Linked DNA regions of Oryzias latipes. The protein of the gene in region 2 binds, or shares a complex with, the protein of the main gene of each other region. Links are inferred from orthologs where the notes say so. Each region holds a gene or a part of one and is shown on either strand. Other genes may lie near its edges.

Region 1 (4,323 bases), on a different chromosome or scaffold from region 2:
TTTTTAAATGTCAGTACTGTTATAGAAAACAAAGTAAAGTGTTGTTGGAAAAAAGGAGGAAAGACGTGTAAAAAAAAAAGCTTATAAAAATTGATATCTGCATGAAAGATGCCAATATTTATTGTGAAGCTTTTTACTAAATATTTTTAAGGATTTACTTTTAACAACTGGATAACTGATTAGTTTTATTCTATAAATATGACTTCTTACAGCCTCAATCTTTTCAGAACAATTGACCTCTTGTGGAGAACCAATTACCCAGAAATAGTTTTATTTTGTTGATGTTGTTTTTCTCAAAATAAAGGACATTTACTCATCAATCAAAGAACATCTACAAGTTAACAGACATTGTAGGAATAATAATTTGTTTGCATTAATTCATCTATTGGTGAAAAAATGCTGGCAACAATAAAATATATAATCATTTTGGGGGAAATCTGAAACATTGGCTGAGTCAAAGCTGTCCAAAGTTCACTTTAGGCATCAATGTTGATAGAAGTAAAATGTTTGTGCACCATGTCCCATAAACATAGAAAACCATGTGCTCAATGAATGAATAGAGACCTTCCACTATGTATAAAAGCTTAAAGACGTTAATATTTGCAGGCATTGGTCGAAATGTGCCTTTTATTGTTTATTTCCTGTAACTGGACCTTTCTTAGCAGACAGTGAATTTTAAGGTTTTGTAAAATAGAACTATATAATCACTCTAAGCAAAAGTCTTCAACCTTGAGAAAGACAGTAAATTGATATACTGTAGTACTGACCCATCTGTCCACTTGTTGGATAGTTTATTCAGTGGACAGATGGGTCAAAGCAGAAACAGCAGTTAGCGTAACAGAGAGAACACGGTGTTTAAATCTTTGTTTTTGTGGCTGTTGCTAGGCAACAAATGGGCAGAAGACAACAGTGCTGAGGAGGAAGGCAACAGGAAGTCAGCCTCAGATCCTCAGAGATTCACAATCTGATAATAGAGAAGAAAACCCACAGACTTTGGGCAAAAGGGCATTTAATGTGTAACAGTCTTCTTCATTTAGGATGAGGGTTCACGTTTCAGAGACTTATATGGACAATTGATCATTCACAGAAATCACCACCAGGGGGCACCACCGGTCTAAAGAAATCTACTGAAAGAGTCACACTTCCAAAAAGATCATACAAAATAAAATAAAACATGCAAAGCAACAACAGCTAAAACATTGTCACAGGGATGGATCTCACTCAGACAATAGATGGGATTAATGCTAAATGTTTCACAAATAGAACCAGATAGGTGCAGAACAGGAGCTTTTCCTACCCTTTTAGCTTATTTTCTGAGACCATTCCCACTAAATGTCCCGTTTCTGACACTGCAGTGTAACCTCGAGATCTGTGACGTGGGTTTGACACCAGAGGTGAGACAGGTGAGCAGATCAAAGGACTTCTGCTCAGAAATGTTCAAATATTATGTTTGATTGAATGGACTGAAATCTGCGGAGGTGAAAGTGCGACTGGTGACTTTTCTCCGCCTTGCTGGAGTGTAAACAAAGTAACAGGATTAGAAAGAGAGGAGGAGGAAGAGGAGGAGCTGAAGAAGGAGGAAGAGGAGGCGTCCTGCTCGTCCGAGACCAGAGGAGAGGAGCGGCCGCCATGTTAACCAAGAAGCCCGGAGCCCCGGTCCTCCCGACGGGTAAGTTCAGCCTGCTTTAGCCCGCAGAGCGGTGCCGAGGCCCGTGGCCGCGCGGGAGGCACGCGGCGGTCCGGGCGCGCGGGATGGTGGGTCACGGGCGCCGCCGGGCACGCGCCGGGCTCCGGTATCCGCCTGTCAGCGCCGCTCCTGCGGCTCGTCTCTCTCTCTGTGCATCTGACTGCTCGGTACTTCCACCGTCTTCTCCCGAGATGACCGGAGGAGAATCTGCGCCGCGAGCGCGCAGAGGAAACCGGCGGAAGTGGAGGTGTCGGTCCGGCTGTTAGGTTTATTTTTAGCCGTTAGATGAGAAGTGACAGCGGCAGAAGGAGAGCTGCTGGTTCGGTTTCCAGCCTACGGCTCCTTCTGGTCCCGAAGCCTCACCGGTGGAACACCAATTTCGTTTCCCTGCCTGAGTGTATGCGGCTCCTTTTGGGTCCCCCTGACAGGAGGAAAGCCCGGTTTCGGTTCCGAATCGCTTCATTTAGTATGTGAGTAAACAAATAGATGTGGTTTAATGAGCCGACATTGTTGTCATGGGTGTTACGGAGGCGTTTGTTACCGGACTGGAGCTTCCGGTTACAGTCCGCTAATAATGCTGCTGGCAGCAGAAAAACAAAATGTTCTTTATATTATTTGTGGATTTTGGATCTTTTACCCTTTAATGACATTTCAAATTGTTGTTCTACCTTTCACGACACATGTAAACGGCTAAACGGATGTTTTTAACATCCAGAACGAGTTAGCTTAGCATTCATGCTAATGTGTTATGTAGTAGTAGTACATCAATAATACCAACTGTAATATGAGTGCAGGTATTTCTGTTGGTCTGATTATTGCTTTTATATCTTCTATGGGCCGCATAAATATATTTTTAACATGTACCTTTGGAAAACCGCCGTAAATTGTGGTTACAAAAAAATAAAAAAAATAAAAACTAGCTAAAACCTACCTGCTGTGTTAGCATAAAGACTTCTGTTCTAAAGGCTTAGCTAATAGAAATAAAAAAGGACAACATATTTACAGTACAGCTCACTTGTCTGGTGCACATTGGGAAAAATTAAATTTGTCGGAATTCTACTTTTAGTTAAGTTACTTCTCATTTTATGCTAATAAAAATGGGCTTTTAGCTAAAACTGCAATTATAACAACTGTCGTTATCAGTTATAGTACTAGCATCAGGTTCAATTCACTGATCAGTGTCATGTACGTATACCATGCAGCTGAAGTCAGTGGAATAAATCCAGTGGATCATCAGGAATCCGCCTCCGTTGGATTTTGTGGACTGGGTCGGCAGGTTGAGTAAGAATCCAGGCAGAGCCGATCCAGCCTAACGCCATGGCATGCCAGACATTTCATTAGCACATCTTCACGTGTTGGAATCGCGCACACAAACACCTGCAGCTTTCTCACCTTTAACGCTGACCAATGGGAGTGTGTTTATTTCAGCTGCAGTCCTGGTTTCCACCTGCGGTACCATCAGTTGACTTTAGAGTAATCTAGATCTGTGTGAGGATCCGTCTCAGCCCGGTTTCCTCCTCAGGCCCGCATGGTGACAGTCTGTGCTGCCTCAGGCTGTGTTCCAGTTATGTTCCCCACTTCATGTTAGACGCTAGCGGGTTCAGATGCTGCAGAAGGCAAACTGTTGATGAACAGAGACCTGTTTGTTGACACAGTTATCATACCAGCAGGAGTGTGGGGTGAATAGATGGAGTGCTGTGGTTCTTCGTTGTCTGCAGAGCCCAAGTTTCAGTTATTGTCATCATGATTGACAGTTGTCTAGCAGATCAGCTGCAGTTCTGACTGATGAAACTTTTCTTTTTGACATTTTTGTCCTGTGATCTTTAAGTACACACATCTTTCAGTCCTTCTCATCTTTTTACGTTTTAGTTTGATCTTTGTGGCTTTTTGGGTCAAACATACAGTCTATAGAGCCCCTTTTCTCTTTTCAGGCGCGACTGGTGTTTTTGTTGCAGCAATTCTTTTTCATTTTGTCTGGGAATTCAATTCTTTGTTCAAGCTTTTATTTTGAAGTTGCTATCACGGCCTTAAGCAATTTTTTGGGAGTTACAGAAGCACAAGGAATCGGACGGGGCAAATGCAGTTGAGCTTGACATTCGTGCTTTGGCTGTCAGGAATCTGGGCCTATGATGTCACCGCTCCTGAACAAAAGGTATCAGAAACATGCAATGGATCTCTGAGCAGCACATCTTTGTAGCACATTCCTGAAAAATATGCAAAAATGAGGATTTTTAGTGGTCAGTTAATTCCAACTCGCACAGAATTGTTCAGAAATAAGACTTTAGTCAAATTAAGATGTGAAACAACAGGAAACATGATTTAGAAAGACTATAAAAAAGCAGTGACTCACCTGTTTTTGTCTTCAGGAATAAGTTTTGGTAAATGTTGCTCATCAGGTGTAACTGTTTCTGGTGTCTCAGCGTATGAAAGATGTATTTTTTAATGAAATATCTTCATTTAACTCCAGAAAACCAGCTGCTCTAGAGGTTTCAGAGTTTTTATAAAGAATTTTCTCTGACAGAAGGTTGCAAAGTTGGCCTTATTTTTATCTCGATTGATCTAATCTATAGATCCACCTTTTCTTTACAGGAATCTCTTTTTCTCTTCCTCATTTTAGTCATAAAGTTCCACTTCTG
Region 2 (4,108 bases):
TGGAGCAAACCCGCCCCATCCCCTCCCCGTTGTAAAGCGGGGCGCTTGTTGCCCACCACATGAATCTCATCACAAAGCTCTTTTTTTCATCTGAATATAGAATTACCGCTCATTGACTATCGCAGTTTACGTTTCAGTCTGTGTGGATATTTTTCATTGGAATCTTTTTTTTTTTTTTAATCGCAGGTTATTTTTGGAACGTAAATTTGAGCTTAGTTTTCTTTTATGCCCTTCATCAGAAAAAGGCACTAGAGCACGTTGAAAACACCAGAAAACAAGATTTTCATCAGAGTGGGTCTTTAGGAAGTATTCTGTCATGTGTGGAATTTAACAAATAGATGAAACTCATTTTTCTAACAGCTTCCACAATAAACTATGGTAAAGAGAAGTCAAACATTTTGGTGGTGATTTAATTTACACTGAAGATTCGTGTCCTTAAAGAGGGTTACTGCGCTGTCAACATCAATGTGATTTAAAGTCAACTGTATTAAAAAAACAAAAACACAAATGAAAGGTTAATTCCCAGTTTTTTTCCATTTATTATTTCAAACTTTTTACCTTACAAGCTCACCATTTAATTACAACATACTAAAACAAAAGTGTGGAAAATAATACAAGCCGCTGGGATTGAAGAAGCAGTGAAATTGATTCTTGCAGGAAGTGAGCGGCAGGCCGACTCAATGTCCATATCTGTGAAAACATGACAAACAGCTTAGCAATGTCTAAAGCAACAACTTTAAAGAAAATCGTACTTTCAGAAATGTAATCAATAAAACTACATGACATCAATCAAACTTACTTCTGAAACTCCCACTCTCTGTTATCAAGGGGACACACTTGTCTGGTTTTCAACCAGCGGGAAATACAATGGAAATGGAATGCATGCTAAAAGAAGACAAACAGGTGAAAAAGAAATTAGAAATGTTAAGGGCTTTAGCTCTAAATGCTCATATTGGTATCCATCATTTCATCTTCCAGAAAACACACAGATAATCTGAGTCTTCCATCAATTTAATTGGAAACTTACATTGCAGACCCCCCAGGCTACTGTGCATTCCTCTGAGGTTGCAGATGCTTGGTTGGCTTGACATTCTATGCCTGATCAAGAAAACATGCAACGTGTCACAGAAATCTAAACTTGTTGGGAGAAGAAGGGCTTGTAGAAGCTTAGAAGTACTCATTCTGCTAAAAGTTTGAAGTCAAAATGAAGACAGGAAGCTATCAGAGAATGCATTAAAGTGAACTCACAGAGATCCATGATGTGGTTTCTACAGATGGCGCAGTTATCCACAACAATGTCCCAGGCCCACAGCGCCACAGCATTCCACTGAGGGGGACAGAACAATCAGATGAGCACATGTTTAATCTATGTTACCCAGGATTATATACACCAGTTAAATGTTTTAGAACGTTCCAACGTTTCCAGACTTTTTTTTAACCATATCTAGCATAATGTCTTGTAATACTTTGAATGGAAAGGATCGAAAGAAATAAGCAACTGGAATTACAAAAAGAAAACAAAATATAGTTGTTAAACATGTCCACTGATCGGAATGTTAAAACATTTTAGGGAAATCAAAAATATTAGCATTTCCTTCCTGCCATTTTTGATAGACATGGCTGATATAAAGAACATGTTCCTGAATTATTTTCTTGTTTTTGGTCATCATGACACTTTTTTTCCCCCCATTTTAAAAATAGTTGACAGGAAAGATTTAGTGCTTCCTTTTACAGTAAAGATAAATATATCAAATTGCACCTGTCAGGTGCACAAATCAGATAAGCACTTTTAAGGGAATATATATATATATATATATATATATATATATATATATATATATATATATATATATATATATATATATATATATAAAACTTTATAGCAATAATCTAAAGAAATCGGTTAACATGTGAAATACACGAACAAAAATTTAAAATTAGAGAAAAAGATGATGTGCTGCTAGATCTTGAAACCTCAGCTTTATGCTAAGCTAAATTAGCATCCGAATAGCACAAAAATAAAACAAATATTAAAAGAATTAAGATTATAGCTCTCGTTACCATTTCAAAAACGCTGTTTTTCTGTTACGCTCGACTGAAGGTAATCTTGTAAATATCACAACATGGTCTAAGTTATGACATTATTTAGAAATGCACATTCATTTTCGTTAAGCAAGCTAACTTTATGCTAGGCAACATCGAACATGCTAATAGGAGTCGTTAACCAGCTAGAGGAGGTTAAAACAGACAGGGCTCCTTTGTTCTTCTTTTATATAGCAAACGTGTTTGACCAATCCAGAGTTGACCAGGTAATAAATAAAATCAGACCTTTTTAACTTCGAAGCGTTTCTTGCTTGAGCCACTGTTAGCACCACTCGGTGTGTCAACGTCCATCGCTGCTGCCATCTTGAAACGTCGTCTGTACAAAGCCGTCCGGATGTAGCAACAGTCTCAGTCGGTTAAGTTCATTAACTTAACCGACTGAGACGGGAAAGACGAAATAAAATAACAACCAAAACATGAATTTCATTTAAAAATTAAATAAATTAATTAATAAATAAGCACAACTTTAAAGAAGATAGTAAGTGATTCCATAGACGAGGGTGGAAGAAAAATCTCAGGTCCCACCGAGATTTGAACTCGGATCGCTGGATTCAGAGTCCAGAGTGCTAACCATTACACCATGGAACCATGTTGAAGCCACAGCCAAGAATTATTAAGGTACCATCAAGACACCGATCACACGTTCAATTCGAATATTGTTAGAATTCTATCTACTAAACAGGTTAACTACATTTTTGCAGCTTAACAATTTCTTTAAAAAGAAAAATTTAAAAACAGGAACTTCTTCATTCATCAAAACGGTGAATATAACGGGTTTTAAAAATTATTAGCATCCTGCCGTAAATGATTTAATGCTAAGTTAACTTACAGGCCTACTTTTTGTGTTCCGTGCTATTTATTATTTGAAAATAAAATAATTGACAGACACTTTAATGTTTGACGATTGTTGAGGTGAACAGGGGTTCCATAATATTTTCTATGTTCTTTTAAATATGCATTACAGGGGTTCTATTATATGTTGTATTTTCTTGTTATTATAATGGATTCTATTTTTGCATGTATATTGTACTGCACAAATATGCTTGATTCCTGCCCTCAGTAGCAGATAATATGTGACGAGGTCACCAGTAGGCCTGTTTTTGACTTGCAGTCTCTGCTTTCTTTCTGTACTGGAGTGTTTATGGAGCCATAACAGCTGCAATGCAGACTAGACAGAAACACACCATTCTACTGACGTATTTTGTATGTTTTCATCTTCCCTTACTTAATAATAAAAAACGCCTTTTTGCCTTGAGGACAGAGAGAGCGGACAGCCACAGAGCCTAACAGGTCATGTTTTTCCAACTCTCCGTTTTTGCAAAAGGTTTGAGAATTCATGCAAACTCTTGTGTCTTTTCGTTTCCCCAACTGCACATTTCATTTTTGGACGTCCTGAACCATCCGAATCCGCGAAGGCCGGACAGGAGGCCAACAGGATCAATAAACTTATATATTTTGTGACTTTTAATATTTTTTGAAAAGTTGTATTCTGTTGTTTAGAGTAGCTTTGCCTACAAAATATGAAGATAGTGCACACAACATGTTGTATGAAGCAGTTTTAATAAAAAAACAAAAAAGTTGAACTTTTTCCCAAACAAAACTCTTTGTAAAGAAACCACCAAAACATGATTCATTTTATTATAATGCCATCTTGTTCATGGTCTTTTTTGGAGTCCCAGATTTTTTTTGTAACCTTTTCTTAGATGATTTGCTTAGTTTCGACTTCGCAGGTCTAGTTTTCACTTTGGGGGGCTTCAAAGAACCTGGTTTGGTTATTGTAGAAAGTTTCGGCTCCCTGCTGCCCTCCTGCTTAATGGAGGCGTTTTCTGAGCAGGATGCGAAGACATTAATGTCTCTGACTTGCTGACCTCTGAGGTCAGGAGGGTTACCGCAAGTCGCTGTAACTTCAAATCTCACACTCTCCATCCACCTGAAACACAAAGATAGTACACAAAAACACAAAAAAAGTTATGTGAGCTTACTGACCGTACAATGTTACATTTGT

The links. Proteins that work in one complex are often made in the same cells at the same time.
Region 1: rbx1 (region 2) and dyrk2 share a complex: the UniProt entries of both Homo sapiens proteins name them as parts of the E3 ligase complex. The link is inferred for Oryzias latipes from reciprocal best matches to the Homo sapiens genes RBX1 and DYRK2.

The regions. Positions count from the first base shown.
Region 1 is NC_019881.2:22,931,330-22,935,652, forward strand, and holds the start of dyrk2 (dual specificity tyrosine-phosphorylation-regulated kinase 2), read left to right. Parts: upstream 1-1,522; 5' UTR 1,523-1,629; coding exon 1,630-1,669; intron 1,670-1,747; exon of another isoform or gene 1,748-2,157; intron 2,158-4,323. UniProt on the Homo sapiens protein: Serine/threonine-protein kinase involved in the regulation of the mitotic cell cycle, cell proliferation, apoptosis, organization of the cytoskeleton and neurite outgrowth. Functions in part via its role in ubiquitin-dependent proteasomal protein degradation.
Region 2 is NC_019866.2:19,409,112-19,413,219, forward strand, and holds rbx1 (E3 ubiquitin-protein ligase RBX1), read right to left. Parts: upstream 2,643-4,108; 5' UTR 2,407-2,642; coding exon 2,329-2,406; intron 1,328-2,328; coding exon 1,249-1,327; intron 1,099-1,248; coding exon 1,028-1,098; intron 886-1,027; coding exon 800-885; intron 691-799; coding exon 678-690; 3' UTR 513-677; downstream 1-512. Other genes in the region: chondroadherin-like protein, read right to left, coding at 3,742-4,033. UniProt on the Homo sapiens protein: E3 ubiquitin ligase component of multiple cullin-RING-based E3 ubiquitin-protein ligase (CRLs) complexes which mediate the ubiquitination and subsequent proteasomal degradation of target proteins, including proteins involved in cell cycle progression, signal transduction, transcription and transcription-coupled nucleotide excision repair.